3 linked regions of the Mytilus edulis genome follow. The protein of the gene in region 2 purifies or fractionates together with the protein of the main gene of each other region. This does not show direct contact. Links are inferred from orthologs where the notes say so. Each region holds a gene or a part of one and is shown on either strand. Other genes may lie near its edges. The genes, in order: something about silencing protein 10-like, U3 small nucleolar ribonucleoprotein protein IMP3-like and U3 small nucleolar RNA-associated protein 25 homolog.

Evidence for each region.
Region 1: the proteins of U3 small nucleolar ribonucleoprotein protein IMP3-like (region 2) and something about silencing protein 10-like purify together in Homo sapiens (affinity purification with mass spectrometry; 3 studies listed by BioGRID and IntAct, with this or other methods). This does not show direct contact. The link is inferred for Mytilus edulis from reciprocal best matches to the Homo sapiens genes IMP3 and UTP3.
Region 3: the proteins of U3 small nucleolar ribonucleoprotein protein IMP3-like (region 2) and U3 small nucleolar RNA-associated protein 25 homolog purify together in Homo sapiens (affinity purification with mass spectrometry; 3 studies listed by BioGRID and IntAct, with this or other methods). This does not show direct contact. The link is inferred for Mytilus edulis from reciprocal best matches to the Homo sapiens genes IMP3 and UTP25.

The regions. Positions count from the first base shown.
Region 1 is NC_092344.1:32,511,006-32,521,723, reverse strand, and holds the start of something about silencing protein 10-like, read left to right. Parts: upstream 1-6,093; 5' UTR 6,094-6,173; coding exon 6,174-6,184; exon of another isoform or gene 6,185-6,612; intron 6,613-10,718. UniProt on the Homo sapiens protein: Essential for gene silencing: has a role in the structure of silenced chromatin. Plays a role in the developing brain. Part of the small subunit (SSU) processome, first precursor of the small eukaryotic ribosomal subunit.
Region 2 is NC_092345.1:65,186,113-65,197,153, reverse strand, and holds the start of U3 small nucleolar ribonucleoprotein protein IMP3-like, read right to left. Parts: upstream 4,488-11,041; 5' UTR 4,421-4,487; coding exon 4,284-4,420; intron 1,049-4,283; coding exon 941-1,048; intron 1-940. Other genes in the region: neurogenic locus Notch protein-like, read left to right, coding at 8,785-8,848, 10,591-10,669. UniProt on the Homo sapiens protein: Component of the 60-80S U3 small nucleolar ribonucleoprotein (U3 snoRNP). Required for the early cleavages during pre-18S ribosomal RNA processing. Part of the small subunit (SSU) processome, first precursor of the small eukaryotic ribosomal subunit.
Region 3 is NC_092346.1:5,174,244-5,186,067, forward strand, and holds the start of U3 small nucleolar RNA-associated protein 25 homolog, read left to right. Parts: upstream 1-6,809; 5' UTR 6,810-6,848; coding exon 6,849-6,973; intron 6,974-11,824. Other genes in the region: uncharacterized protein, read right to left, coding at 625-751, 2,144-2,151. UniProt on the Homo sapiens protein: Component of the ribosomal small subunit processome for the biogenesis of ribosomes, functions in pre-ribosomal RNA (pre-rRNA) processing. Essential for embryonic development in part through the regulation of p53 pathway.

The sequences.
Region 1 (10,718 bases), on a different chromosome or scaffold from region 2:
GGAGTGATTTTACTTAAGCAATCTGTTTCCATCAGTTTTGTCGGTGTGTCAATTTAAGTGAAACCACCAATGAACAGTCTATTATTTGAACTTGGAATTATTTTTAACTATGGAATTTGCTTGATTTCTTGTTATTGAAATTTTTAATAAATTCCAGGGCCGTAGGAAGGTTTTGTCAAGAGGGGGTGCGAAGGGGGTGGGTGTGGGAGGGGCACTCCCCTCCTACAGCTTAGATTTTTTTTGAAAATAGGTAAGCCAATTTCAGGGTTTAATGTGTTCTCAGAACGTTAAATACATGAATATCCATACTCTTTTAATAAGCTTTTAAACGGTTAATAGGGAGATATTTAATTGAAGAAAGCGTATAAATCATTGATCGAACTAGTACTGAAGGTACTTTTTATTTCAACATATTAAATCAATATAACAGTGGTACCTTTCAAAGTTAACATTACAATTTCATATATATGATAAAAACAATGGATTGCACACATCACTTTTGTTCCGTAATTATTTCGGATAAAATAAATCATTCTTATATAAACATAAACCTACTGGCATTTTATCATGATCTATTTAGAGATTTTAAACGGCGTTTTGCATTTGCGCCGATCTGCATTTCATTTGCGCCGATTTTTTCTTTCATTTGCGCCGATTTTTTTTTCATTTGCGCCGATTTTTTTTACAGGTAAATTACAGGTGAATAGATATTAGAAGAAGTTGTATGAGTGCCAATGAATGAACTCTCAATCCAAGTCATGTTCTTATTCATTTATCATTATAGACCTCCTCAGTTATCCACTTGTACAAATTTAATGAATTATCAATCATAACTTATATATAACTGTTGTTCCCTGCTCACCACGGGTACTGAGTGGAAGAAGTCCTTCAAGATACATCTCCAGAATTTACATTGACTGTACCCGCTGTCTTTCGGACATCTACCACATGGTTATGCTCGTTCTGTGTTTTGACAATAGAATCCGTGGTGACTCTGGCTGTACACGATTTTATGGTACATTAGTAAAATGTGTTTCAGGACACTTATCTTCCGATATGTATGGCCCTCGATGATTAAAGAATTGACTCCTCGACCCGTTTCAGTGTGCAATATGTCTATCATGTTACTATGAAGTTTCAGAACAATATGAATCAAAATTAACATAAATGAACAGCATTTATAACCAGACTTTACCAATAGTATAGTACAGTATATAGTACATGTACAAGTATTATCTTACCTGTAAATCTAATTAGGAGCAAATATAAAATCGGCGCAAATGAAAAAATGAAATCAGCGCAAATGAAAGAATGAATATTTTCAAAATCGGCGCAAATGTCATACGCCCATTTTAAAGACAACATGGCTTCATGTCTTTCAAGTTTACTTTTATTATGAACACATAATGTGTTCATAATAAAAGTAAACGTAATAAGACGAATTCCATGAATGACGTACGTGTGTCTTATTACAATATGATGGATTATAAAAAAAAAACAAGGAGCTTAATAAGCATCTATTAAAATCCTTAGAAAAAACATAGTTGATTCTCTCTGAAAATTTCTCAATTTAAGATTTTATCCTTTGACGGATACATGATAAGCTTGGCTAGGGGCGATTCTAATCCTACAAATCTCATTTAAACACCATCATCGGTTGCATTTACATGCGCCTGTCCCATGCCAAGTCAGGAGTATTTTGGTCATTGGCGAAGCATTTAATTTTTATAAGCTTTGGAAGAGGAATACCAACGATACAAGAAGCGTTTTTAATAAGAATTTAGGAAATTATGCTGTGCTTTAAGGTTAAGGATTACCCTTTTGGGTTTTACAGTTATTGTTTTATTTGACATACAGAGCTGTAAGTAATAGTTCCTGCTCTTTTGAGAAGTAGTTTTTTGTGTTATATTTAGTAGGTAGGGGATTGTGACTGTCTTCGTGTCATATTGGGTCTTTTTTCATAAAACCAACACGTGCTATGTGATAGAAAAAAGATTAAACTATTAAATTGTATGCCAATGTCACATCTATTATATATTTAACCCTTACCAGAATACGGCGTGTTGGTGTATTTATTGACGCATTACTTAAAATTTCCAACATATGTTTTAACATGTTCCAACATGTTGAATGAAAAAAAATATCATTTACATTGTACCAATAACATTTAGCAATCGTAATTTAGACCAAACTGTAGGAAAATATTCCTTCTTTAAAATAATATATCATTTTCTCGCTTTGTTCTTTCTGCTTTCCAATATATATACAAAATAAATCGTTTTACACTCCCAAATTGAAAGACATGTTTTGACGGAATGTTGAAATTAAAAACTGAAATTTCGAAAAATCGTAGAAAATTCAGAAATGTTACCAGAAACTAGAAAAAAAGTGCTTAATGCTAGTATAAGGTTTCAGCTTCATAATGATATCAACTATTTTGGTTTGAACTTCGTATTTTTAAGAAAAAAAATCATAATACTGTATTTTTTGTTTTGCAATCCGGATGGAACTCAATCAAGGTTCAAGACCGAGGTCTATACTGATAAGAATTTGCATGATGAATATTACAAACATATGTTCTATGAGGCATTAAAATGATTCCTAAGTCCTTGCCGTTTCACGGAATAGTCGTTTATTCTTGATTTTGGGCTTCTCTCTCCTTTATATCTTCTCAAGCAAGATGACCCCGTGAATTTAAAAGATCGATCTATATGACAGGAAATGGACCTCCGTCATGATTCTTTATATAACGAGTCAGACATGGATTATAGCTCTACGGGTGCTCTGTGAATATCCCGATTGATCTCGAGCCGCCTTTCCATTCCTTTTTAATATACAATTCCTTGACCCCAATAAACAATTTTGAGATTAGGAGAATCTTTACTACAAGACTACCATACGTACTTCTTTTCATAGATTGCAAATATGAGTTGGTAGATCTAATGTAATTTGCCAATTTTATAGATAATGAAATTGAGAATGGATATGGGGAATGTGTCAAAGAAACAACAACCCGACCATAGAACAGAGTTCAACAGACTACAGTAGAAGGCCAACCATAGGTCTTCAATACAGCGAGAAATTCCCGCAACCGGAAGCGTCCTTCAGCTGGTCCCTAAACAAATCACGAAATATATATGCTAGTCAGTCAGTAATAATGAACGTCATACTAATGATGATCTCTCAAACTGTATCAGATGTGTCCTATTTTGTCACAGAAAAACCACGGTAACCCGTCAGCGTGGAGAACAAATGCTCATCCGTGCCTGAAAATTCTTCTAATATTTTTTTATTTTTTTTTTTTTTGAAAGAGGGGGTGCGACCGCACCCGACGCACCTCCCCTTCCGACGGCCTTGAATTCCATGATTATTCTGTACTGAAATGTTCTGTGCTGCGCACAACACTTTCTATTACAAAGAAAATAGTATATTTTCAATAGAATGTGCTGTGCCGCGCACAACACTATCTAACCAAAATACATTGTATGGAAAGTGTTATTAACCACTCAAAAGATCATAATACAAAATAAACATGGAATTTATAAAAAAAATTAAACACAAGAAATTATGCGAATTCCATAATTAAAAATAATTCCAAGTTTAAATAATAGCCTGTTCAATGGTAAATCAATGATATTTGGTATGCTGTTTTAGAAGTATTGGCATATCTCATTTCCACAGAAATCGGTTGGCTATGCACTTTCAGTAATGATTTATTGAAGTCAGATGTTTTGCATAGCTTACATGTAAAATTATTGCAATTTTAACTTCCAAACATTTCCATTATACAATTTATACATTATACGCAGTGAAGTTTCAGATTTTTGCTTCAGTGCTGATATTTCTGGGTTTAATTACACAAAAATCTTACTTGAATGAACTAGTATAACGAAATAAAAAAAAAAGCATCAAGAATTATATCTACTTGTGTTTCAGTAATTTATATGATTCTACATATGTATTATATAATTGACAGCTATTCTAATTGGGAGAGTAAATAAGTTTTTCACCATCATCGAACTTTTTTTAAAGGATTCCTATTTGGACATGTAATGTATTAAAGATATACTTGTACCTGTTTGATGACCCTGTGCAATGAGTTGGGGGGACATATAAATTCCGAGAATCTAACCTTCTACACACCTGCTCTTGTAAGCAATCTCACTTGAACAGTTCTTGCCACATTTGTAAGAAACTTTTATCACTTACTGGATTTGATTGATAAGCCTGATACTATGTTCTGAAATATACAGTAAATTCGGACATTATTGCATTCATTCATAATTGACCATAATTGCAATTAATCAAGAATGGACAAAAAGGCGAGTTAAATTATTGCGAATTTGAAGGTCTATGTTTCAATTATCAGAATGTGACTGTTTACTTTTGCAATACTCACTAGTCCCATTATTCACAATATTAGAAACCTCACGATAATTTCTGAGTTTTCAGTAACTTGGAACAGTGTAGTTTGCTTGTGTGGGATATAACTATCTTTATGTCCTTCTCTTTATATCATATGGATTTATATATATATGTAAATATTTATCTATTATATTTCATTGTCACTGTTCAGAAGATGAAACCAAAAAATCCAGATGTGAATCCTACATATATTACACAACATTGGAACAAGAACCAACAAAAAAGTTCAAAACTATGCATCATAATTATTTTTTTAGATAAAAATAAAAGCATTCCAAATGCAGTACTCACAATGTTAATCATTTAAAAATACTCTTTACATATAATTATAAAGGGTGAGTCAGTTTGGCTGGTAATTGAGGAATTAATTAATTTAATTCAGGAATATGTGGTATGAGTGCCAATGAGACAACTCTAGATCTCCATCCAAGTCACAATATATAAAAGTAAACCATTATAAGTCAAGGTGTTCTTCTTTAATTTCTTTATATTATATAAAATATTAATTCATTAATATCAGAAAATTTCAGAACATGCATAAGTGCATAGCAATCTTTATTGATTTGTAGAAGAATTACATTTTTTAGTCCTATTTTAATTTTAACATGCACGCCAAAACTGTCGGGACATATGATATTATGGTATACAAATGTTTAGCATCCGTCCAGGCCAAAATTAAAAATATGTTTGTTTCCCTTCCCCCCACACGGGTCAAAAAATTATTTTCCACAGAAAAATCAAAATTATTCTTTCCTGAAAATAATTTGTTTCCATTTTTGGAAAGTGCTTGAAAGCAGAAGGATTGATAATCTAAATAAATACACCTAAATTGAGCACAAACAACTGATAAGTGACCTGGACTGGACAAGTCAAACCATTCATGTGACCATGCTATGACAATCACATCCAGTTAAAAAAAAAAAAAAAAAAAAAAAAAACTGCCTTCCTGGTCTGTTTACAAAGGGTAGACCCTGGGGAGGGGAAACAGACATTCTTTTAAATGTGGCCCCATCTGTCTGTCTGGTGTCCACATGTTGCACCATAACTTGAAAACGACTTATTAAAATTTCATGAAATTTAGCATAGTTGTTTCTGGTGATGGTCAAACAATCTGTATGCATTTTGGTGGAAAAAAAGATTAAATCCTTTTGAGTTACGGGACTTTGTAATATAAATGCCAATCTGCATAGTAAACAAAAATATTTGTAATAAATATAATTGTCAAATGTATACCTATGGTTTATATACACTTTGGTAATAAAGATATATAACTGGTACCTAACATCTTCCTGATGAAGTTAAGTTTTCTTTTGAAATTATCAGCAGTCTGTTCAGGTAAACATCATATTAATCAATAATTAGTCAATCTGAAATATCTCTGAATAGGATATGCTATTGGTTAGGAATTATTCTAAAATGAGACTATCACACAAAATCAGGGGCAATCACTCTGTATTACATTTTATATGAATAAAAAAGTACTGAGTTCACGTATTGCTTTTTTTTTTTTTTTTAAGAAACCAACTTTGTCTTCAATTAATTTACGATTTTTAGATTCTTTTGATTCTTTTTAACCCTTTTCACATTATTATTTACATAGCTAAGCCTTCAAGGAACATTTCTTAATGAAATTTCACTTTTACACTGTTATTCGGTACTCTTTAGAACAGAGATTTAAAGGGTACCAACCGGAAGTATTTACGAAAGAAAACAAAACCACGTGTGCTCGTGAATAGAAAACATTGAAAATGCCAAAAAAGTGAGAACGATTATTTTCTTATTAATTTCTCCTCTGTTTTACAAGAGAAAGTGTGTGAGTCTTTGAACCACTGCATGTCAGTTAAACATACAACGCCGTTTTACAGCTCATCTTAAGTTCCATGTGGCACTCAGAAAAAGTGCCAACACCCCTTTCTGGTTCTTTTTTTATTTCAGAGTCTCGGAGATAGATTACTTGAAGGAAATTCAAAATTTCATTATTTAGTTAACTCAGCTTCCACATACACATTTTTTTTTATGAACTGCATATTTTTCTTCAAGTTCAACCCAGTTCAAAATAGCATGAATGAATGTTCCAGTGTCTGATACCTTTGGCTTTGTCTACTGGTCATACATGTAGCATAAGCCATATCATAGGCTCCCACAGACCCCTCATCTTGGAGTGCCATAATCAGATATTCCTGTCAGGTAATCTAAATGTATATTATACCACAGTTGCTTGAAATTTACTGATATACATATGATTTTTTTTTTAAATAAAAATTTACTATTATATAATTATTATATAAATAACAGTAATTTTTTTCATTTTTTTTCTCATATATATATATCACTAAAATTCAAGCGACTGTGATTATACTTTATAATGGTAGGCAGGCATAATTTACCTGTTGGAGATGAAGTCCACATATTTTAACTTTAAAATCTGTTAAAAAATAAACTGAAACACTGTTAGATTTCTGATTTTGGCCCTGTTGTTAGGGATTTTAGAAGCGATGTCATTCATTTCATTTCATTTAATTAATGACATCATTTTCAATGTAAACAAAGAAATGTCATCACGGTTAACGTTTTTTCGTATTAAAGAATATTTAAAAATGAAATTATTATTGTACTCCTTCGTATATTTTACTAGACTGATATTTTTCTCAAAGTTTCATGACAAACCAGACTGGAAGAAAAAAAGATTTCTGCCCAAATGTGGGAAAATAGAAAAGTCTGAAAATAAAAAGTTAACGATTTTGAGTTCATCAGTACATTTTGTAGATTGATTTTTCTTCTGTAATTGGGGAGAAGTCCCTATATTTAATATTGATAATAACATAATATATTAATAAATCAATTGAGAACAAACTTGTAAATTTATATGGGTTCCAGTTCGCAGTTTGCCAGATTTTTTAGGGACTACTAGACCATTAGGCTAGTCACCATTTTATTGCTACTAGACCATACAGTTTTCTCTAGACTGGAAATTTTCAAGAGAAATAAACTGTGTATAAATAGGATTAAAGGTTCATCAAAAGGAGTTGAAAACTATATCCATGGTTTTGTAGGATTGTATATTGCTTACTATGAAATTATGTTGAAGGAACACTTTTTCACAGTTAATTAAACCAAAAGTTCCAAATGGTGAAGTTGAAATCATCCCTTCGTAAATTTTACGGACGCCATCACGAATTGGTTGACCATTATGGAATAACCGTTTCACAAATGATATCGGATATGTTCCTTACGTCGTAACTACAATCCCCTTCCCTTTCATGAATGTGACCTACCGAATTAGACTATTTACCGGATTTGTTATCACATAAGCAACACGACGGGTGCCGCATGTGGAGCAGGATCTGCTTACCCTTCTGGAGCACCTGAGATCACCCCTAGTTTTTTGGTGGGGTTCGTGTTGTTTATTCTTTAGTTTTCTATGTTGTGTCGTGTGTGCTGTTGTTTGTTTGTCTTTTTCATTTTTAGCCATGGCGTTGTCAGTTTGTTTAAGATGTATGAGTTTGACTGTCCCTTTGGTATCTTTCGTCCCTCTTTTGTCACCGTACATAATGTTATCCGACATGAATTGTCGTCTGGACAATATCTACCGTTGAAATTGTGTCCATAGAGAAGAAAAGGTGTTTTCAAACTCAAAGAAAAAACAATATTTCACATGATATAAACATGTGTTTACTCTCATTACTTCCAAAATATATAAATATACATGTAGGTTCATTTCTTCAGAGATATGTATGTGATTTCTCTATCCTAATTGAAGTTTGGATGGAAATAAGCATGTTTTTTTGTCTCTATTTAAATTTGGCTTGTAAACAATTGTGAACTGGAGTATTGAATTCATACAAAATTTGCTCATCACCAAGTGCAATTAAACAGAAAAATATACAATAAAAACAATACTCTCACTACTGTTATTATTTTATCAATAGTTGTGATGTACAATTTCAATTTATTTTTTATACAACCGCAAAATTTGAAAAAAATTTCGTCGTATATTGCTATCACGTTGGCGTCGTCGTCGTCCGAATACTTTTAGTTTTCGCACTCTAACTTTAGTAAAAGTGAATGGAAATCTATGAAATTTTAACACAAGGTTTATGACCACAAAAGGAAGGTTGGTATTGATTTTGGGTGTTTTGGTCCCAACATTTTAGGAATTAGGGGCCAAAAAGGGCCCAAATAAGCATTTTCTTGGTTTTCGCACTATAACTTTAGTTTAAGTTAATAGAAATCTATGAAATTTTGACACAATGTTAATGACTACAAAAGGAAGGTTGGTATTGATTTTGGGAGTTTAGGTCCCAACAGTTTAGGAATTAGGGGCCAAAAAGGGACCCAAATAAGCATTTTTCTTGGTTTTCGCACCATAACGTTAGTATAAGTAAATAGAAATCTATGAAATTTAAACACAAGGTTTATGACCATAAAAGGAAGGTTGGTATTGATTTTGGGAGTTTTGGTCCCAACAGAATAAGGGGCCCAAAGGGTCCAAAATTAAACTTTGTTTGATTTCATCCAAATTGAATAATTGGGGTTCTTTGATATGCCGAATCTAACTGTCATGACTGTGTATATGTAGATTCTTAACTTTTGGTCCCGTTTTCAAATTGGTCTACATTAAGGTCCAAAGGGTCCAAAATTAAACTTAGTTTGATTTTGACAAAAAATGAATCAGTTAGGTTCTTTGATATGCTGAATCTAAAAATGTACTTAGATTCTTGATTATTGGCCCAGTTTTCAAGTTGGTCCAAATCGGGGTCCAAAATTAAACTTTGTTTGATTTCATCAAAAATTGAATAAATGGGGTTCTTTGATATACCAAATCTAACTGTGTATGTAGATTCTTCATTTTTGGTCCTGTTTTCAAATTGGTCTACACTAAAGTCCAAAGGGTCCAAAAACTTAGTCTGATTTTAACAAAAATTGAAATCTTGGGGTTCTTTGATATGCTGAATCCAAAAATGTACTTAGATTTTTTATTATGGGCCTAGTTTTCAAGTTGGTCCAAATCAGGATCTAAAATTATTATATTAAGTATTGTGCAATAGCAAGTCTTTTCAATTGCACAGTATTGCGCAATGGCAAGAAATATCTAATTGCACAATATTGTGAAATAGCAAATTTTTTTTTAATTAGAGTTATCTTTCTTTGTCCAGAATAGTAAGCAAGAAAATATCTAATTGCAAAATATTGTGCAATAGCAAGATTTTTTTTTAATTGGAGTTATCTTTCTTTGTCCAGAATCAACTTAAATCTTTGTTATATACAATATACAATGTATATTTACTTTTTACTACCAACAGATAAATTAGAATAATCTTTACCATTCAGTGATAACAAGCAGTTTTTTTACATCTTAATATTTTATGATGTATTTAAATGAGTAGTTATTGTTGCAAACTCCATTAGAAATTTTAATTGAGATTAGTTTTGGAATAAGGGAAAGGGGGATGTGATTAAAAAAATTGGGTTCAATTTTTCTCATTTGAAATTTCATAAATAAAAAAGAAAATTTCTTCAAACATTTTTTTGAGAGGATTAATATTCAACAGCATAGTGAATTGCTCTAAGAGAAAACAAAAATTTTAAGTTCATTAGAACACATTCATTCTGTGTCAGAAACCTATGCTGTGTCAACTATTTAATCACAATCCAAATTTAGAGCTGAATCCAGCTTGAATGTTGTGTCCATACTTGCCCCAACCGTTCAGGGTTCAACCTCTGCGGTCGTATAAAGCTACGCCCTGCGGAGCATCTGGTTAAAGTGTAGTTGGATGCTCCCCTCTTGATCAATAGTTTTTTTCTCATTGTCAGTTGAGGCCAGTGGATGTTTCTGTCAACATCTTTATAATTAAAATAATTAGAAATGCTTTGGAATTCAACACTTCATTTTTAGCTCACCTGGCCCGAAGGGCCAAGTGAGCTTTTCCCATCACTTTGCGTACGGCGTCCGGCGTCGTCTGTCGTCGTCGTTAACTTTTACAAAAATCTTCTCCTCTGAAACTACTGGGCAATATTAAACCAAACTTGGCCACAATCATCATTGGGGTATCTAGTTTAAAAAATGTGTCCGGTTACCCTGCCAACCAACCAAGATGGCCGCAATGGCTAAAAATAGAACATAGGGGTAAAATGCAGTTTTTGGCTTATAATTCAAAAACCAAAGCATTTAGAGCAAATCTGATATGGGGTAAAATTGTTTATCAGGTCAAATTCTATCTGCCCTGAAATTTTCAGACAAATCGGACAACCCGTTGTTGGGTTGCTGCCCCTGAATTAGTTATTTTATGGAA
Region 2 (11,041 bases):
CTGGTATTTCTTATGAAGGTGTAGTATTTTAGGGGCATTCACTGGTAAAGCTGTGTTCTTTGAATTTTGATGTGGGTAATATCACTGAATTATGAAACTCATTTTGTATTTGTTGAATAGGAAGTCAATTTTACAAATATTTATAATTATAATATATATAACAGTAGCAACCTAAATAATGTATTTTTTTCAATTTTAGAGCATGATTTACATATCTGACAAAAGCTGGTCACCAGAAATAAAATTAAAACTTCAAATCTGGATATCTGCAAAGTTTGGGGAAAATATACAAACTCTGACTGTAAATGCAAGGTGCACACAATGGCAGAATGATAGGGAAAAGTTACTTCTCTAATTAATACTGACTGGAACAAACAGTCAGATTAAAAAGAAAAGTGTATATTGCTCAAGACAAACAATGTTTGCTTTTGCATGTTGTTACAATATTGTTCTTTTGCCATTTGTATCTTTCTACTTATTTCATTCTTTTATGTTGAGAGCAAAAATCCAATTTGTCTTATTCTATAAAAATGTATTAACACATAATCTTCTAAGACTTACATTTAGCAAAAACATAAAAGTATTGATGAAAATTGGTGCGTTTACATTTCACTACTGATGATCTCATAAAAATAAACTTGACGAACCTTACCATTTTAGGTTCATAATGGCAGCAAATGTATTTTGTTTTTGCCTAATTCAAGTACATTGTATTTATATCAGCCAATACAAAGACCCTAAATTTGAAGGTGGTTCAGAGGCGGATTTAGAGGGTTTTTCAGGAGGCCTGGCCCCCTTTTTCTGGGAAAAAATTGGTTAATTATATAGGGATTCAATGAAGCATGACCGAAGCGGGCCCCTCTTAGGCAGTCAGTGGGCCCCCACTTATGAAAATTTCTGGATCCGCCACTTCTGATTACAGTACACTGAAGACACTTACAATTTTTCAAGGAGTTGAGCTGTGGCTTCTATTCTAAATGGATCTTTCTCGTCAACTTCTTTGATTTTTCTGGCAAGCTCTCTTATATGTCTGGACAACTTATTGTACCTAAAAATAAAAATCAATTGATGTCAATTTATGGATGACAACACAGGTTATGCATTCCTGCATCATTAACCAACACTGCCATAGATATTAATAATTGATAGAAAATATCAATAAAACGAAAAAAAAATGTACTACCAAATGGTCCCAAATTGTTAACTTTTTTTCTAACAATTGAGCTTGCACATTTACCTGTTCCCATTCTGTTGATGGATGCTGTCATGTTTTAAATAAAAAGATTTCCCCTCAATATATATAACTGATTACCAAAAAAGAAATAATTACAACTAAAATGATTTGGAATTTATTTTTTGTTTGAGTATGTCTTATTAAACATATCATTTTATAGCTAACTAGAGGCTCTAAAGAGCCTGTGTCGCTCACCTTGGTCTATGTGAATATTAAACAAAGGAAGCAGATTGAAAATTGACTACAAAGGTCAATAACTCCTACAGGGGTCAATTGACCATTTCGTTCATGTTGACTTATTTGTAGATCTTACTTTGCTGAACATTATTGCTGTTTACAGTTTACCTATATCTATAATAATATTCAATATAATAACCAAAAACAGCAAAATTTCCTTAAAATTACCAATTCAGGGGCCGCAACCCAAAAACAGGTTGTCCAATTCATCTGAAAATTTCAGGGCAGATAGATCTTGACCTGATTAACAATTTTACTTCATGTCAGATTTTCTCTAAATTATTTGGTTTTGAGTTATAAGCCAAAAACTGCATTTTACCCCTATGTTCTATTTTTAGCCGTGGCGGCCATCTTGGTTTGATGGCCAGGTCACCGGACACAATTTTTAAACTAGATACCCCAATGATGATTGTGGCCAAGTTTCAAATAATTTGGCCCAGCAGTTTCAGGGGAGAAGATTTTTCTAAAAGATTACTAAGATTTACGAAAAATGGTTAAAAATTGACTATAAAGGGCAATAACTCCTAAAGTGGTCAACTGATCATTTTGGTCATGTTGACTTTTTTGTAGATCTTACTTTGCTGAACATTATTGCTTTTTACAGTTTATCTCTATCTAAAATAATATTCAAGATAATAACCAAAAACAACAAAATTTCCTTAAAATTACCAATTCAGGGGCAGCAACCTAACAACGGAATGTCAGATTCATCTGAAAATTTCAGGGAAGATAGATCTTAACCTGATTAACAATATTACCCCATGTCAGATTTGCCCTAAATGCTTTGGTTTTTGAGTTATAAGCCAAAAACTGCATTTTACCCCTATGTTCTATTTATAGCCATGGCGGCCATGTTGGTTAGTTGGCGGGGTCACCGGACATAATTTTTAAACTAGATACCCCAATGATGATTGTGGCCAAGTTTGGTTAAATTTGGCCTAGTAGTTTCAGAGGAGAAGATTTTTGTAAAAGTTAACGCCGGACGCAGGACGACGACGGACGACGACGACGACGGACGACGACGGACGCCGGACGCCAAGTGATGAGAAAAGCTCACTTGGCCCTTCGGGCCAGGTGAGCTAACAAAATGAGTTTTCTGGGGATGCTCACCTTGGATAATTTAGTCATATATATTTATCTGAACAAAGATCAGTAATAAGCTGACTTTGTATATTTGTTGTTATAGGTATTAACTATTATGTTTTTTATTGAATTAAAGTATACTTTCAAACAAACAAAATATAACTGCTAACTGGAGTTTTTCTTTATTTACATCAAAAATCATGTCATATATATAAATTCATAACAAGGACAATCATCAGATAAGTTTTGTTGATTCATTTACTTCTTCACCAGCAAACATTCTAAGCCTTGTTCCCAATAAATGTGTATATTCTTCACCACCAATCATTCTAAGCCTTGTTCCCAATAAATGTGTATATTCTTCACCAGCAATCATTCTAAGTCTTGTTCCCAATAAATGTGTATATTCTTCCTTTTCTTTTACAAGAAACAATGAGAAAATCAAATGCATGTGGCAATGATCATGCATCATTTCAGTACAAAATATAGACTACTTTCATGACTTTCAAATTTGTTCTGATGTTACAGTGCAAATTCTATTTTTCCAAATGTGACACAATTCAGCCTGAAGAAAAATCCGTCATCTGACGGAGTCAAACCTGACTAACTGATAAGACAACATGGACTGTCTATGAAGACGACTTGGCCAGTCAATAAATCAGCTTGGACAATCTTTAATGAGTCAATGACAACTAAGACAGAGTTTTATAAGAGGATTTGAGCTATATAAATGATTATAAATAATCAATTGTTATATTTTACATATCAATATCATATGCATGTTGCTTAATTTTCCAACATGATAAACAAGAATGTGTCCATAGTACTGTACATGGATGTCCCACTTGCACAATCATTTTATGTTCAAACATCAGAAAAATAGAAATCAAGGGAGCATCTTTCAATTCGCAATTTCAGAATCTTAAGGACAATGGTTTATATCATTGTTCGTACACCAAAATGAAATAACATTACGTCATTGGTTGAATTTCCATTGTTTAGAACGTTTTTGACCAATTACAATGTTTTGGTTAACGCTTTTGAAAATATGACCCAGAATGCATTAGATTCTGAAACGGCAAATTGTCTATATAGAAAAATCTTCTTAGAAGGTCTGAGCTGCCTTTTTTGTTATTTATATACTCAAAATCAGAGTTAAAACTTTATTAGAGACTTTCATCTGGCAGACACAATCTTTTTCATTAAATCATATATTTCTTCAAAACTCTGATTTTATAAGTAGTCTGAGTTGTTATTGTAGAGGGTCCTTATCTTCTTTTCGTAGAGAATTGAGTTGTCTATAGGCATATAGTTGAATTGCACCTATTTTGTACAGTAGTCAGACCACAGGAGCACCTATCATTAGATGAAATCAAAAAATCTATGTCTACTATGACATGCGTTATGCTATTAACACAATGTATAATGCATACCAGTCGACTGGCACATTTTCTGACCTACAACATCTATGATACGCACCCTGTAGTTAGTCCAAATAATTATGACGTCTTGAAAGGCTATTATAATTTTTTTCTTTGACGCCTTACTTCGACGTCATGACGTCTTGAAAGGCTATTATAATTTTTTTCTTTGATGCTTTACTTCAATGTCGAAGTAAGCCGTCAAAGAAAAATTATAATAGCCTTTCAAGACGTCATAATTATTTGGACTTCTCTGTGGTCAGACTGTAAGTTGTAACCAGTGCCAGTGTAGGAAATTTTTAACTCACTTTGTGTAATCTTCACGTTTTTGAATGTGGTACTTTCTCATCACTTTAACCTCGTGTAAATTATTGTCGACTTCCCAGGAAATGAAATCGACTTTCTTAAGAAGCTTCTTCTCATGGTATTTTAGTTTTCTGACCATATTTACTGTTTCTAAGATTTGAGAGCATGCAAAATGTAAACCGGAAGTTAGCAAGTACAGTTTAAGATATTTCTGACTCGGAACAGATATGTTATATTTCCGCAAATATACCAAAGGGTACATGCATTTGCTGGTGAACTATTAGACTAGTCCCTGGGGTACCACCAGCCCAGTAGCCAGACATGAAAATACAGATTTGTTTGTTATTAAAAATTTTGCTGTTACAAAATGTTAAAAATTATTTTAAATTAAGGAATGTTTCTACCTCGTGTAAAGCTCTGATTCCTTTTCCGGCTTTTGCTATACTTTTTGTACCTTTTTGGATTAAAGCTCTTCGTCGTTTTAATAAGTTTTTGATTTTCAAATATTTTAGCCTCGAGTATCACTGAAGGGACATTTCAGTATCGTCGAAATGCGCATCGATCTGGTGCAGTAAGGCCCGTGACTGCCAGGCTGGGAAACTGGCTTGGTAGGCAAATGCTCCCATTAAATCTGTACCGATACAGTGTTTTAAGGTGTTATGGATTTCTTTCGCCATCTTGGATTGTGAAAAACAGAGAATCTAAGGTCCAGATTTTCAATCAAATTATCAAAATTTGATGCAGGAATCATGCAGTAACAAATGTGAATTTGCATTTAAAAGAACAAATTTATAAGATTATAACTTATAAATATCAATAATTTTACAAGTGTTTATTATTTTTGCTTAATTTCTAATGTTATTTAAATTGGCATCTGTTGGGGAGGTAAGGGGACGACCATTCGGTTCAACTAGAAAGCAAGCTAACAAAAGATATTACCTTTGCCTACACACCCAATGGAATCGGCTGTATAGATATTGAAATTTTAGTTTTAGAATTGTTTGATGACCTTTGCTCGCCTTTTGGAGATACCAAACAAGTGTTATTTCAACAGGAACTAACTGTGTCCATTTTATTGCTGATTTATCATAACATTACTGTTATGAATTAAAAATAATATGACAATAGATATAAGAAGATAGGAGTGGCCAATGAGACAACTCGGGATCTCCATCCAAGTCACAATTTGTAAAAGTAAACCATTATAAGTCAAAGTACGATCTTCAACACAGAGCCTCGGCTCACACCGTACAGCAAGTTATAAAGGGCCCAAAGCTTGAAATGAGTCATCTAGAATCAAACTGATATTTCTTATGGTTATTATTTCATGAGAAGCGGGTCGTTTTTCCTTTCCTATAGATATAATTTTTTTTTCTTAATTGGTGTTGATATACTGCGTTTCTACCAAAGTGAAAAGAAGCGGAATATTTCAAAAGGACATCCACAATTCGTTGGAAATAGATGTAATATAGAAACTGCAATGTTACTTTTTTATAATTATAATTTTGAATATATTACAAAATATACAAACTTTTGGCGTAGAAAAAAAACATCGTTCAAGTTTTGTATCTATACCCCCCCCCCCCTTTTTACCAGCATAATTATGTCTGAGTGATTAAAAATCGTTCAGTTGGAACATTGCAACCTTTTCTCCTTTTGCTTTCAAGTTTGAGTTTTTTCTAATGCATAAAAAAAATCACCCCATCCATTTGTCCTGTCACTGAAAGGCGTGGTATAGTGTCCTTATGATAAAAATGAGAAGGTGTGATATGATTGCGGACGAGAGAACTACTAGCATCAAGTAAAAACCCAAAGGCTCTAAGGAGACTGTGTCGCTCATCTTGATCGTTGTGCCTTATAAACAAGGGCCTCTCTCCAACATTAAAGACTAGACTATGATTCAGGACTAAGATGTCTTATCTGTTGATTTTGTTTTACTGAAAATATTTTGTCTGTTTTCATTTCTCTCTACAAATATGTAGATGGGGTCATTTTCTTTCTATCTGATAAAATTGTGAATATCAGTAGAAAACGAGTAAAACGGCATGTACCTTATATGTTACATACATTAAGGTATAGGATTTATTCTGAGACAAGTGCCTGTGCAAATTGTATTTATATTATTATTCTAGTTTCTTGTCTAGATGATAACGTTGTTGTTTGCAGCAATGTTACGTACAAGGTATGTCCGAGACACGATGTAGTTACGATATCGATATCAACTCAATCACTATTTCACGGTGTATAATCGGAACGCTAAATATACATCGTGTATTTACCTATATCATCTACTTCGTCAGGCTCCCTGGTTCATCTGTATGTGTGAACATCGACGATATCGTAACGATATCGATGTTCAGGTTACCACTATTAATCTACATGCATAACATGTAAAAGTTGTTCTGGTTCATCTTTAGGTGTCGATATCAACGATATCGACGATATAGACTCGATATCGACATTCCAATTTCAATCTGCATTTGTTGCTCTGAATCGTGTACATTGTATGCTTCTTAAAATAGTGTCGAAAACGACGATATCGACGATAAAGAATAGATATCGGTATTTGAATTTCCCCTCGTAATGTGAAGCATTAATTCTGAACTAGCTTTAAATACATTTCAAACAAGTGTCCATTTATTCCTTTGATTATGTTGGCTATGTCGTCCATATCTACGATATCGATTTTATGTTATTTTCATCTTAAACTACAGCCGATATCGTCGATATCGACATTTAAATTTTCCCTTGTTATGTGTTGTTTCAATTCACAACTTTGTACAAATTTCAAACAAGTGTCAATTTCAACTAATACAAATTATATGTACACGTGATAATATTTGTTATTAGATCCTTAAGTTTTCTATAAACTTTATCACGACCCATTGTAACATCCGACATATCATTGAGTCATCATTCTTTATAAAAACACAAAATCGATATCGATTCGATATTGTATCGACAATATCGACATATGGGCATGTCTGAGTGTGTCATGGATGTTCAGTGAAAAAAAACGTAGCTATTTATGTGAATTGAGTTTCTCGTCCTACATTTAACTTTTGATGTCGTCCCTAAGTTATAACGGGCGACGACGGACACCAAGATTGATAAGAATAAGAATAAGAATTGTATAAGTCTAAAATGCAAACAATAGGATTGTTACTAAAATACAAAACAAAAACAAACAAACAGACAGACAGGCATATTAATTACAAAACGATAGACCTTAAACACTACAAACATGTAGCATTGAAAGAAAAAAAATATTGATTATTAATATTAATTATAATACTATTTTTGACATCATGCCTCCTCTTTGAAATTATCAATTCAAATATTATGCTTATATATAACATCATAAGTTGAGCCATCAATTACACAGTTCATATATTGACATTATGATTATTTCTCTCATTATACATTTCACTTATATAGTTAACAATGATAAGTAAAATATCACATTCTTCGCAGGAAAATATAAAATCAAATATGTTTTCTTCACTCATTGAATTAAAACTGGGGACAATACTAGAAATTTCATTAAACATTTTGATCCTAGTTTTTTAATTTCTGAACATGTTGTGATAAAATGGAATTCATCTTCCACCTCTTTATGGCATTTTTTGTATCTACCGCGTTCAACAGCCAGCATACTGTTACTTATTCTTATTTTAGCATAATTTTTTGTAATATTTTTATCTAAATTCAATAAAAGGTACTAGTTTATACCTTACTTTAAATTTTCTGTAGGTTCTTAGTTTATTTCCATTTATTGAATTATCATCATTAAAGAGACAAAATAAGATGTAATTTTCATTGAGCTTTTTCACGACTGCTAAAAGTAATCGTTTTTTTTTTAAAAGGTACATTGATTTTCCCAAACATGAGTGAAATTCAATTTTTGATAGTAGCATTTTAACGATATTAAGCGCACTGAAACTTTTTCAAAAGTTTCATCTTTATTTATTATTTCCTACGGGCATACATTCCACCAGTCAAGCACACACGAGTCGTGTGCCAGTTACCTATACGCTAATCCAAGCGTGACTAGCGGTGTCTCCGTCTGACTCCCGCGAACTAACGTTACACTTCAAAGTCAACAAAAAGTGATTTAAGTTGTGATGCGGTGTGCGGAATAAAATAGGGCAGTCAAAAGAACGGTTAAAGTATTTTATCAATGCAAACCACAAACAATAAAAAGACAGTTTAGAAAGCGATTTAACTAATATCTTCTCATAAATAATTATATTGCACATATATGAGATAATCAAATATTTGTGAAGTCCGTACCTTGATAATTACGCGTAGTGACATAATCTGCAAGGTGCTTGTTTGTAAATCAACACGAGTTGTAAAAGTTTTGTGTATTCGACGATGGAGTTTAAAATATCATGTTAAAAGTTTGGAAAAGTATATTTGCAGTGCTATTTTTGAATTTGGAGTAATGTTTGGATATTTAATGTGAATATTCCATAAGGGATTTATTATGATTTTGGAGTTATGTTGGTTTTTGCACGGTTTTTGACGGCTGTGTTGATTGCACATCAAATTATCCTCATTGAAGGTAATGTCCTAGTGATAAAAATACCCATGCATCGAAATACATTGATGATGAATACTTCAAACAATTGTATGCTTGTCTTTTTATATTTTAAAGAATTCATGAAGTTCTGAAAGATTAAATGTTGTATTAATTGCTACTAATCATGGTTTAATTTGTTATACATGATATATGAGAAAAAATAACTGTTGAAATTAAAGATATCATGTTTTGAAACATAGGCAATACACATTTCGTTGCGCGTGCCTTCTTTGTTTTCATGCAAGATGATGTCATAGGACAAATGTATTGATGCACTTATGATTATATTATAAACAAGTTTTGTTTGTTTAAAATATTATCGAATGAGATTTCAATTTCTTGATGAGGTTATAAAATACTATAGCATATTAAAAACATTTAATAGTTAAAATAAACAGTTCAAACCTTTAAAGTATTTTTTGATTTCAGTTTTAGTAGAGGTTTAAAATTACATTAAGTTAACAGTATTCTTTTTTTTCAAAAGGTTTGAGCTATTTGAACAGGAAAAGACCAAACACCCAATGGGTCACATTTGGGATATAAATTTACAAAAAGCATAATGTAGAATAAACACTGACAAATTTCCTGACTTGTGAGTTCCTGACTTGTGAGAGGTACATGAATATATGACGGTGTTAATGTTTTTTTAATATACATTGTATCTCAAACCCCCATATCCCCATTTTTTCTCCATCAATGGAACAACAAAAAGTAGTACTGAATAACACCAAATATTCATGTACATTGTAGGAAAAACATTAAACTCTAGAATAATGTGGAATAGAAAACAAAAAACAACACAAAAACAATAGACCAGATAATTATACTGTATCAAAGATCAGTCAGTGGTACTGATACTGCTAATTTGAAATTGATGAATCCAGGGTAAACTTCAATATCAATCATTGTATCAGTTGCTGTACTTCATAGTAGATTTTGTACAGCAATGTCATTAAAAGTACAGGATCTTGAAGACACAATCTGTACAATTCTAGCAACATATGCATTTAAATGCAGAATACAAGAAAAAAATATGTTTTGCTTCATATTATTAATGACTACATGTATTTGATGTTTTTCCCAAAAATATCATGCAGTGATTATACCAGTACTACAATATACCCACTGAAGAATTAATACAATGAAAAAAATCTCCTTGTTTCTGGTTTGAATTTTGAAAAAAACAACAGTCATCATTAAAAAATTCACCTGAAAGATAAAAAGTACCTGGTATACATCTTTTTGGTACTTGTGTTAGAATTTTGTTTCACAACATTTTGTACAATGTAATTTAAAATATACAATGTACCAGCACACATTTTTAAAAACCCAGATATGTCATTTATGTTTAAAGTTATGAAAAATTTCCCCCAAAAATATAAAATTCTTGACAAAAATATAATATTTTGTTTTGTAAAGTTAATTTCTTTCCATGAGGTTACAGCACATGTTTATCATCTTAAATACTTTCAGTGTACTGAAGTACTTAAATATAAATATAATCGGGTGTTTATTTTCATATATAGTCAGAATATCTTCAAAGTTCAAAAGAAGTTAGAAAATCTACTTTATTAATTAACAATAATTTGGAATAGCAACCTTCATGAATTAAGAAAATGCATGATAATTTTTGTGTCAATTTGGTCTCTGTGGAGAGTTGTATGACATTGGTAATCATACCACATCTTCTTTTTTATATGAACTATGAATGTTTTATTTTGCAGCATTTCCTTCATGCTATCCTGATCCTTGTTTGAATGGAGCTACTTGTAAAACAGCAAGTAATGGAGAAAGTTACTGTGTGTAAGTACAAAATATACAGTGTCTCTAGTCATTTGCCAGCTACACCCATGTGTAAAGCCAAGTTTTTATATTGAAATATTGGCAATGATTTTTGTCATATTTAGGGGGGGAGTGAAATGATAAGTTCAGTACAAACTCATTTACCCATTTTTTTAGCCGGTAGGAAGGAAAAAGTAGTTTATTTTTGTTGGGCCTCTGTCTTTTTCACCTTGGGAATTACATGTATAAATTAATATGAGAAAATGTGTGTAATCAAATAACAAAATTTAGGGAGATAATTCTCTAAATGTCACACAATTTCCTAATACATTGTACTTAGTAGAAAAATATTAACAATCATGCAGATGTAATGGAACTAAAATCTTCAATATC
Region 3 (11,824 bases), on a different chromosome or scaffold from region 2:
TATTATTTACAAAACAATTAGAAAATTTCAATGTAGTTATCCCTAAAGCCTTTCTGCTCTTTTGATTTACTTTTCACGCTTGTGCTGCTCTGCAATTTAAATGTTAATGAACAGATGATCAAACCTTGGAATTTTTGTTTGTTTTTATTAGAATTATTTGGTATTCAGCATAAAAAATATATGAATCTCATAAATGTTCTGTAGCAAAAATTCCTCAACTTAATTTACACTGCTTCCATGACAAGTTTGTTTAACGGATGAGTCTGTGGGCTTTTACATTTGTCTCTCTATGCACCATTTTTGGTTGATATGTGCTATAGGCACAGGGCGTGCATCCTTCCAGATCACTGCTGAATTTGTAATTTTAAAGGAAATTTTGCTGTTTTGTTGTGATCTTTTGACAATGGTGCACTTATACAGGTACAATTGAACTCCTTGTAAATTTTTGGTTTTTTAAGTCTTGAAAAAATGATGCAGTATGTTGAAGGAGAAACGTAGAAATTGTTGATAAAACGGTAGATATACATGTATATAAAAGGGAAGAGTCTGACAACGAACTTACCACAAATCCATAGTTTTTCAATACATCACATTCAGTAGGGATGAGTCCGACAACAAACTTACCACAAATCCATAGTTTTTCAATACATCACATTCAGTAACTTTTCCATACTTTTCAAACATCATCTGTATATCTTCCCTCGCCGTAGACTGGCTCAGGTTTCCCACAAATATCTTCACCATTTTCCAGCTAAAAAAATAGAATTGGACCATGAGTATTTGGCATGTTTAAGTATTTGAAACCATTGTCCACCGTTGTGAACATTTACCAAAATATTTTAGAACTGCAATTTTTAAATAACTGCTTTGTTATTACATGTATTAGTATATATACTTCTTGATTTTACTTACATGTGATCTGACTAATTCATGTATATACAATGTAGTAGCTAATTGAAAGAACTTTTGTTTTGAATTTTCACTTTTATCAAAAGCTCTCAAATATTACAATTTTGTGTATTTAATCAGGGTTGGATTTACAAAAATTAATACACACTTTTTAATTTTGAATTTAAGACCAGAAGTAAACCTTTTTTCATGTGCAAGATTTGTAAAATTTTGTCAGAACAGGATACATTGCATTTTTCTTTAAATCCTGAAACAAGGTCTTCATATTACAAGTTCTACCCGTAAGAATGTAAATCATTAAAAACAATTTACACATATATCAATATGTGTCTGTCACAACACTCATCATTATACATTTACTTACTCTTACAGATGTGTTCCTGTGAATAAAATGAAGGAATTAAGGATAATGACACAAACTTTATTGTTAAATGGACTGCATCTAGAACTTCAAATTCTAAATTAAAGTTTCTAAAGTTCTTAGGATTCATTTTGTCCATCAAAACTGTCAAGTCTTAAAAATTAAAAATTGCTGCATTTGAAATGTTTTTTTCGTTGTTGTTAAAATGATTAATAACTGTAAAACAAATTTAGCCTTGTGCATGATGTGCAATCAAGAATTTGTAAATCTTAACAATCTTCGAACAATTTCGGAAAAGCAATTTTTATTCTAAATCCAATAAATTGCATTAAAATAGAATTTTCAGTAAAATCTAAAAATGTTAATAAATCCCAAGTCATTTATATCTCTGCCAAATGTTTTGCAGTACTCTGATTATTAAAAATTAGTTATTGAAAACAAAAATTTGAAGTTCTATCTAGACAGTTTTACAAATTAAACAAGCCTTTTGCATTTTCCAGGAAATATAAGCTAATATAATGAAGCTGATTAGCCTACAGGATCAAGTATATAATTCATCTGTCAAAAAAGTCTTTTGTAATTGTTTAGAATGATGAAATTTTAAAGACAATTGTGACTTGTTATACATTTTTATTATTTCTTGGTATAGCTAAAACTGGTACACAGTTAAAGCTTCCAATAATATATCATAAATCAGAATGACAGCATGCATAACATGACATACATTCAATGTTTAGCACAAGTCTGACATAAAAGTGTTCAAAAGTTCAAATTTTTGAAGATTTCTTGACAGATAGAAATACAAATGTAGCATCATTCATCCAGATGGTTTGTAGGACCTAAAATAGACCAAAATCAAAAGAAATGAATTACCATTGCATCTGTACTATGTTGGTGCAGCAAATTCATCATCTAATTAAATTTAAATAACTGTTGGCACTCATAATGGTGTAACACTGGGCTACATCATGCTCAGAAGATATAAAACGCATAAATGGTGGTCCCATATGACAGCCAGTCACCAAATGAAAACTTTCGACAAATCAAGAAACGAATTTATGGGCAAAACTGCTGGAAAAATTTTCATTATCGCTTCGCACATGTGCTGGACGACAGGAAGAGCCAGGAAATCATTAAATCGGTTTTTATTCATAACAAATGTGATACCACTGAAGGTGTGATCGAAAACGGGAGATTTAGGCAAAATAATATCGGATCGTGTTTCTTTGTCTGAACAGGTCCCAGTGTTGCCCAAAGCATTTAGAACAAAGCGATAACTGCTTCTGCAATTTGTCGAATATTTCTTTATTACAACAGTGAAACATATTTCGTGCAATCATAACGAGATAAATAAACTGTCCAATAGTGTAAAACAAAAATAATGAAAGTTCATGTATGACTCATTGGCCGAGACGAATAAAAATGGACGCCGGGCATAAATGAGAGAGGCGGCAAGGCTACTACAACTGATATCGACACAATACAATATACATTACGGTAATATCGAAAGCTTAACGATGCTTCTTGCTTCGGTAACTTCGGACGGTCCTCCTGTTTATCAAAGGCGTTCGTTTTCGGCTTGATCTCGTCGCATGTGTTTTTTGCAGTAATGGCGGCGGCAGGAATAGCTTGGTATTGGATAAAGGACAGATTTTGTTTAATTAATTGTATGTTAATTAGCTAGATCAATGTATTAAAGTATTTTAAAAGGTCTTATCAAAATACATAGAATTTTTTGATGACTTGTCAAAATGAAGTTTTTATCATGCTTTTTTCAAAAATATATTAAAAACTATGGGTCACCGGACTTTTTTTCACGCTACAGTTGTGCAAAATTGGCAAAATTGACAGATTTTGCATGGAAATCAAAGTTTGTGTGATAAAAAGAAAACGTTCTTTTAGAACTTAAAGATAAAATTTGAGAAGATTGCTCTTATAACATGCTTTCAGAAAAGAAAAAGAAAAAATGGGGGTCATCGAACTTGTTTTTTTGCTACATATAAAAATAGGTAAATTCATAACACTTTTTTATTTTCGCCGTTTCAGAATCTAATGTATCCTGGGTAATATTTTCAAAAGCGTACACCAAAGCGTTTTGATTGGTTTAAAACGTTATAAACAATGGAAATTTAACCAATGACGTGACGTTATTTTTACTTTGGGGTACGAACAATGAAATTACCCATGATGCTTTAGATTCTGAAACGGCCAATTACTTTATCTGAGTTATCTCCCCTTATTTGGCAAAAATGAAAAAATCTAATCAAACACTAACAAGGTGTTTTGGGGAAATTACAGCTGTAGTTATGATAAAATTTATGCGGCATACATTGTTGTTACCAATTACACAATTTTCTATATTGATTTCAAAAGTCGTTTACATTTTAAAAAAAAATACATACAACGCTCAATATTTGCACATTTCATCGAATATCTAGACCAAATTTATCTGCTTCTTCAAAATCCAAGATGTAGGAAGAATCATGAAAAAGAATTGTGATGGAGATGTAATATGAGTTTATTTAACAGAGGCGGATTTAGGGGGGGGGGGACATTTGGTTGCTAGCCTTATATAGGGAATCATTGATGCGTGACAGGAACGGGCCCCCTCTTAGGTCAGTCAGTGGGCCCCCACTTATATAAATTTCTGGATCCGCCACTGTTTAATACACTCCACGTTTAAATAACTGATTTTAAATGGCTAGTACGAGGGAGATAATTTGAAATAGATACTAATATACTAATGATGATATTTACATGCGACATACATTGTTGTTACCAATTACCAAAGTAGGGTACACACAAATTATTTGGATACAGTAAAGTATTTTGTGTAAAATTCATTAAAAACGAACGAACGAACGATAAATAAACGCATCTAAATAAATCTAACATATTTTAGAAAGTTACTTTAAATTGATGACCTTTTCAAACAGTGTTCATTATGTTTATTCTGCTGAATTTTCTTTAATCGTCCATATAAGAATAGATCATACTGTTGTTTTTATGCCCCACCTACGATAGTAGAGGGGCATTATGTTTTCTGGTCTGTGGCTCCGTTCGTCCATTTGTGCGTCCGTTCGTCCGTCTGTGCGTCCGTTCAGGTTAAAGTTTTTGGTCAAGGTAGTTTTTGATGAAGCTGAAGTCCAATCAACTTGAAACTTAGTAGACTTGTTGCTCATGATATAATCTTTTTAATTTTGAAGCCAAATTAGACTTTTGACCCCAATTTCACGGTCCACTAAACATAGAAAATGATAGTGGGATTTTTAGGTTAAAGTTTTTGGTCAAGGTAGTTTTTGATAAAATTGAAGTCCAATCAACTTGAAACTTAGTACATATGTTCCCTATAGTATAATCTTTCTAATTTTAATACCAAATTAGATTATTACCCAATTTTTACGGTCCATGGAACATGGAAAAGGATAGTGCGAGTGGGGCATCCGTGTACTTTGGACACATTCTTGTTTTCCTTTCTGTTGAAGCATTTGATTGAAGGATTTCATTTTGGGTTAATGCCTTCCTATCTACAAGATCTCAGTGCGTGGTAGTGAATGGGATAAGGTCCAAAACATCGACAGTCCTATCAGGGGTACCACAAGTTCAAAGGACAGTTCTTGGTCCAATCCTATTTCTAGTACAGATCAATGATCGACATAGCAGAAGATGTAACATCAGAAATAAGACTGTTCACAGATGACTGTGTATGCTATAAAGAAATAACAAATGACTGTAGTAAAGAACTTCAGAAAAATATAAATACCCTTGGTGACTGCATGGGCGACACATTGGGGTATAAGATTCCAACTAGTTAAATTCAACAAGATGACATTAAGTCGAAAGATGAAAATAACACCATTTAAATACACGTTATAATATAAAAGATACGGTACTCGAAGTTTTAACAGCTTTTAAATATCAAGGAGTTAACATCACAAATAACCTACATTTGGGAAAGCACAGAGATGAGATATGCAACAAATCTTATAGGACATTAGGTTTATTAAAAAGAAACTTATCAGCATGCCCACTGGAAGTTAAACTCCAGGCATATAAAGGACTGATACGACTTGTCCTAGAATATGCAAGCACTGCCAGGGACCCACATCAAATACATCTTCAAGACCAACTGGAAAATGTACATGCAGAAAAGAGCGACTAAGTTCATTACATCTAACTACAACTACGAACCAGGAAGTATGACTTCAATTTTAGACCAACTACAATTACCACCATTAAAATACCGCAGAAGACAAAACAGACTAATTCTGTTCTGTAAAAGTATACATGCGCAAGCAAACTTACCATCTGACCAACTGAGAAAAAAAATCAAGTATAAAAAAGAAGATGTGGTATGATTGCAAATGAGACAATTGTCCACAAGAGACCAAAATGACACAGACATTAACAACTATAGGTTACCGTACTGACTTCAACAGAGCCCATACCACATAGTCAGCTATAAAAGGCCCCGAAATGACATAAAACAAATGTAAAACAATTCAAGATAGAAAAATAACGGCCTCATTTAAATAAAAAAATGAACGAAAAACAAATATGTAACACATAAACAAACGACAACCACTGAATTGCAGGCTACAGACTTGGGGCAGGCACATACCTAAATTATGTGGCGGGTTTAACAAGGACAACAAAGAACATGCATAGTTTCATACCAAATACGACTAAAGACTGTCCAGAACCTACTACCACCGGATATTTTCACAAAAATTCAAACAGTACAAGAACCTTAAGTAAATTGAGACCCCCATTATAAACAGTTCTTGAACCGCCACTGATACATAGCTGTGAGGAATAGAGATCAATAAAGCGGCAACAAAAAAATAGACTGATAAACGATCTTTATAAAAGGGCCGTTTCCGCCATTTATTTCATTGGGACTGTCAACGTTCATTTGTTCCACCTAACAGAAGTTCCAATTGAAACTTTGTTTTAAACATTGTCATAATATCTAATCCTGTTGGAATAACTATTATATACCATTTATTCCATTTGGAACAATTACTTTAATATTTATTCCTATTTAAAGCAGCTTTTTGAGCTTATCTTATATTATGAAGGAACTTCTATTCCGTAACAGACTAAGCGTGCGGTGACCTTTCATTTTTATTATATTTTAAAACATATATCGATATAAACTACGTTTTGGCGAAGAATGAACAATTTCTATTATTTTAAAATTATACCACTTATACATGATATACCAGTAGAGAGTATACCACCTTAATTAATGTTGGGGGATTATAATGTTTAAATACATGTAACTTATATAATTAAGGAGGGAAATAACATACAAACCATTTTTATAGTATAAATAAGATAAAAGATGTTCTGCCAAAATTTAAATGTTTCTTTTCTTAACTAGTAAAAAATATGTCTAATTTATTTAATTACACATTAAGATTTGAAATGAACCAGAAAATAAAGCTTTGTGAATTAATTATATTTCAAAATAAAATCTGTGCTTTATTCATATGTTTTCTTTAACAAGATATATTTGTTTACATCCAACCAATCATGAGCCGTCTATCATAACCAGTTCGGGTCAAAGTACAAGATGGCTCCAAAAAAGCATGGTTTCGGAAAAAGAAAACGAAAATCAAAACAGAGTGGCTCAAATGGCGTTAAAAAGGGCAAATTCGCCAATAACACTAACCAGCTCCCAACAGGAAAACCTGAACAGTATGGAATTATTTGTTAGAATTGGGAAGAATAAATGAATGAATAAATAAATATAAAATTTAATTAATTTTTATCCCCCCCCCCCCTTTTTTACGATAGTACAGGGGCATAATGTTCTTCTTCTTTAGTTACAGAAAACCATCAACATACTGATGTTTACTTTCCGGCGCTTGCCTGGTAAAATTTTTCAAATTTATGTATTTATAAAATAGTTTAACATAGATGTATTCCATATTTTTGTATATATTTCATTATTATTACTGCCTTCTCCTCATTCCGGTGTATCCCTGATTCCGGTGTAATGTTAAATTGCGGGTTTTTGTTGAACTAAAAGCGCGTGCAAGGGTCAGGGGTTACAGGTTACAGACAACTGGTGCATCGCTGTCATCAAGAAATGTAAATACGTCAAACAGTCTTCATTACAGGTAAATATATATATATTAGCGCATGATAGTATGATTTCCATAATTCCCAAATTCATGCATATGCCATAAAATTTCAAGCCATCTAAAAATATTGAATAATCATCCCAAATCGATTTATTGTTATTGATTTCTCGTCTGCCATTTGCAAGGCGTCCCAAACAACAGTCACGTGATGATACAGCCTCGATATGACTCTGAAAAATCTATGGAAAGCCTGATTAACAAAAATGAACACTTTTACAGTTTATTTTAGAAAAAAGTTATTAATCTCGTTTTTATGTTTATGAAACTATTTATGTTGATTGAATTTAATAAAAATTAATAAATATGAATATGAAGAACATATTACTGTGATTAAAGGACAAAATGCTTGCACAATAATTATTAAAAGAAATGTGCTTTATAATTAATTGAAGGTATAAATAAGGGGGGGATGAAAATATTTTTTTCAAACTGAATTTAAGATTTTACTGATCTTTTGTAAATGTTTATGACTATTCATTTTTATTACAGATATTTTTACAATGAAGAAAAAGCAGTATGATCCAAATGCTTTGAAATTTGCCTATGATGCTGTACAAAATGGAATGTCTGTTTACAAAGCTGCAAAAAACTATGGTATTCCAGAAAGCACGCTTAGAGATAGGACACTTGGTTTGGTTTCTGTGGATGGGAGATGCTCCAATTACCTTTTTGATGAGTCTACAGAGAAAAAAATGGTGGACCACATTGCACATATGGCCAGCATTGGTTATGGTTATTCAAGAATAGATGTCATTTATCTAGCAACTGATTTAGCTGTGTTTATGGGCAAGAGAAAACCTCAAGAGGATATATTGAGCAACAAATGGTATTACTCTTTTATGAAAAGATGGCCAAATCTAACTATTAGTAAACCACAGAAATTATCCATGCAGAGAGCTAGATGTGCATCAAAGGAGACACTATCTAACTATTACAAAGAGTTGGGCACTATTATGACCAAAAACAATCTGCATGAACAGCCACACAAAATATTTAATATGGATGAGAGTGCTCTACAAACTGAACATAGCCCAGGTAAAATTGTTCATGACATTGTTGTTAAGCCCCAGTCTGTCACATCGCCAAGATCTGCAAATGTCACTATAATTAGTGCTGGCAATGCAATTGGAAATGCTGTTCCACCTTATTATGTATTTCCGGGTGTTAAATTTGACAGGGCTCTACTTCTTGATGGGACTCCACCTGGTTCTGATGGCCAATGCAGTAAATCTGGATGGTCTAACAGTGAAATATTCAAAATGTACCTGGAAAAGCATTTTCTCAAGTATGTATCACATGATGTCTCTGGCACTCCTCTTCTTATATTGTTTGATGGCCACCGCTCACATGTGAGCTTAACTTTGCAAGATTGGGCTGAATCAAAGAACATCATTCTTTTCATACTTCCACCACACTGTAGCCACATTTTACAGCCATTAGATATAGGGTGTTTTGGACCATTAAAGGCTTGTGACAACCGGGAGGCACAGTTGTTTATGAGAAAAAATCCAGGATGTAAAATTACAAGGTATAACATAGGACAAATGTCTTGTTCTCCCTACCAGAAAGGTCTATCTGCACAGAACTTGATATCATCTTTTAGGAAAAGTGGGATATATCCTTTTAACCCAAAAGCTGTTGACACCAGCGAACTTGCTCCAGCTACAATTTACCCCACAGCTACATCAGATGAAGCAAGTACAATGAATAATACACAAATTTCACAAGAAGATGACAACACTTCCTCTCAGCAATTTAACAAAGCTGCCACTCTGACGATACAACAATTCGAAGCTTCATCATCAGCCCAAAAGGAACAAGATATCTCATCAGATCAAGATGAATCAAATAGTCAACCTTTGCTTACTCTAGTTCCTCCTGAAAGCAGGTACTCTGATGACATTCAAATATATACCGCAGAACCAATAATTGAATTGAACACATTAAACATCTCTTCGAATATAACCACATGTACAGTAAACAGTTCTCCATCCGGATTCCTGCTAAAAAGAAATGTTGTTTCAGTTGAAAAGACAGAAAAGAAAAGGAAACACTTCACAATCACAGGAAATTTAGGAAAAAAGAAAAACATGGATCATCTGAATCAGTCAAAAAAGAAAGGAACTTTTAAACCACCCTATAAAAAAGCAGAGCCTAAGACAGTTGAAAAGGAAACTAGAAATCAAAACAAAGCAGGAAAAGATACCAAAAAGAGGGCACCTGTAAAAAGAAAAAGTTCAACTGTGATGGAAAAAATTGAAAAAAAAATTAAATTATCAGAGGATGATGTTAATGCAGGTCTTGGTACATCTGGTTTAAACAAGGATAAAGGAGGACCAATATGTCTTGAGAATTCATTTAGTGACAGTGATGAAACCGATGATGACGACGGTGAAACTTGCTGTGTTTGTAATAAGAAATCTCCCTCAGAGATCAGACAACTAGCAGGAATTGTGTTTGTCAAATGGGCACAATGTGACAATGATAACTGCCGTCACTGGACACATCTCCAATTCTGTAGTGATGTTAGAGTCTTGCGGAGAGGGGATACTTTCTTTTGTCCACACTGTAAAGAACAGTAAACTGTCCAATATACAGAACACTATTCCAAAAACTGTTATTCTGATTAAAAAAAAAACAACAAACAATAGATTTAGAACTGTTTAATATTAATGTAATTTTTCTATTTATTCAGTTAAAGTAGATTTTCAAAAAGTGAAACTTTGTGAAATATTTTTTTCCCACTATTGACATCAAAATAGAATTATTAAAATAATTTCCACAAAAGAGTGAAAGTAAAACAAAAATTTGAATGAGAAATTTTTTTTTTTTTTTTAAATTTAGAAAAAAAATCTTGCATATATTGGACTTTTCAACATTTTTCATCTTGTCAAAAATAATTTGTGTATTTGTCCTAAATAAAATCGTGTTTTGCTGATCTGTACTTCTTTACTAGAATATTAGCGTTATTTGATGCACAAAATAAGGTGCATTAGTGTTCCAAGTTGTCCTCCATACTATATTTTACCTTTGCACCGGAAAGAGGTTAATAGCAAAAACAATGATGGGTGGTGATCACCGATTTTCAATCATTTATTAAACTGATAAAACTTGACAAATGGGTAACATATTATGCATCATCGAAGAGCTAAATAACTGAATTTTATTTATTTCAATCATATTTGTTCCGTTTAGTTCGAAAAATGCGTTTGGAATAATGATTAACATTTTGACCACCGGAATGGGGTTAACCCAGTATATATTATTAATTTTTACATTTTTTTTTTTGTCTTTAGATATTTTCGTTTTTATTTATTTTTTTTGTCGTTTTTTCTCTCTGGTCTATGCGTATGTTCGTTCGTCCGTGCGTCATTCCACAGGAGTTTGAAATCTTATCAATAAGGGGGTAAAAATATACCAAAGTTGACTATCACAGTAGAGCTTCTCTCGAAGAGAGAAGTTTTTGATCAAGGTAGTTTTCAATGAAGTTGAAGTCTATCAACTTGAAATTTAGTACGCTATGGGTACAAGTTAAATCGGCACCTAGGCTAAAGAAAAAGTCAAATCGACACTTATTCAAAGTGAAATCGGCATCTGATAATAATTAATGTAATATTAATAATTATAATATAAACATTTATTTATATGTATAAACTTAATTTCCAATTATGTTTAACAAAATTTATGTGGGATTTATTTTATCGGTATCCGGTCGTTCCGGCCCCAAACCGATCCGGCCCAAAGTCGATCCGGCCCAAGTCGATCCGGCCCACGTCGATCCGTCCCCAAGTCGATCCGGCCCCATAATAAAATATGAATAAACTATATTCACTATATGGAGGAATTTGTGACAAATTTGAACAGTATAAACGGAATTTGCAAAAAGTGTCAATGATGGATGACAACAAAATTATGTCATCATTATGGTATTAAGAGTATGAATTAAACCACCTGAATTGATAACATAACTAATTTGATAAATTGAATAAACATATGCATACATTGATGGGAATAGTTCCTGTGGTATATTAAATAACAAACAGTTTAATTCATTTAAAACAAAAGTTTCATTATTGATTTCTATTCTAATGAAGTCATTTGTATATTTTCGGAATAGTCTTAATTTTTTACAATGTAGCAGTAAATGATTTAGGGTTTCATTTTCCGAGTTACAGAAAAAGCATATCGGAAAAACATTACTATGATTTCGTCTTTTTTTATTATCTTTAGTAAGAAGAGCATTATGCATATGCACAACTCTGTAAATAAAATCTTGCTGGTAATTGTTTAACCAAATCATTAGTCTAGAATTGGTTTGTTTATTCAACAATTGTCTGATGATTGTGAACTAAGGTAATGCCACTCGTAATCACTTAATTCAATCAAATCCTGATTAATTAAA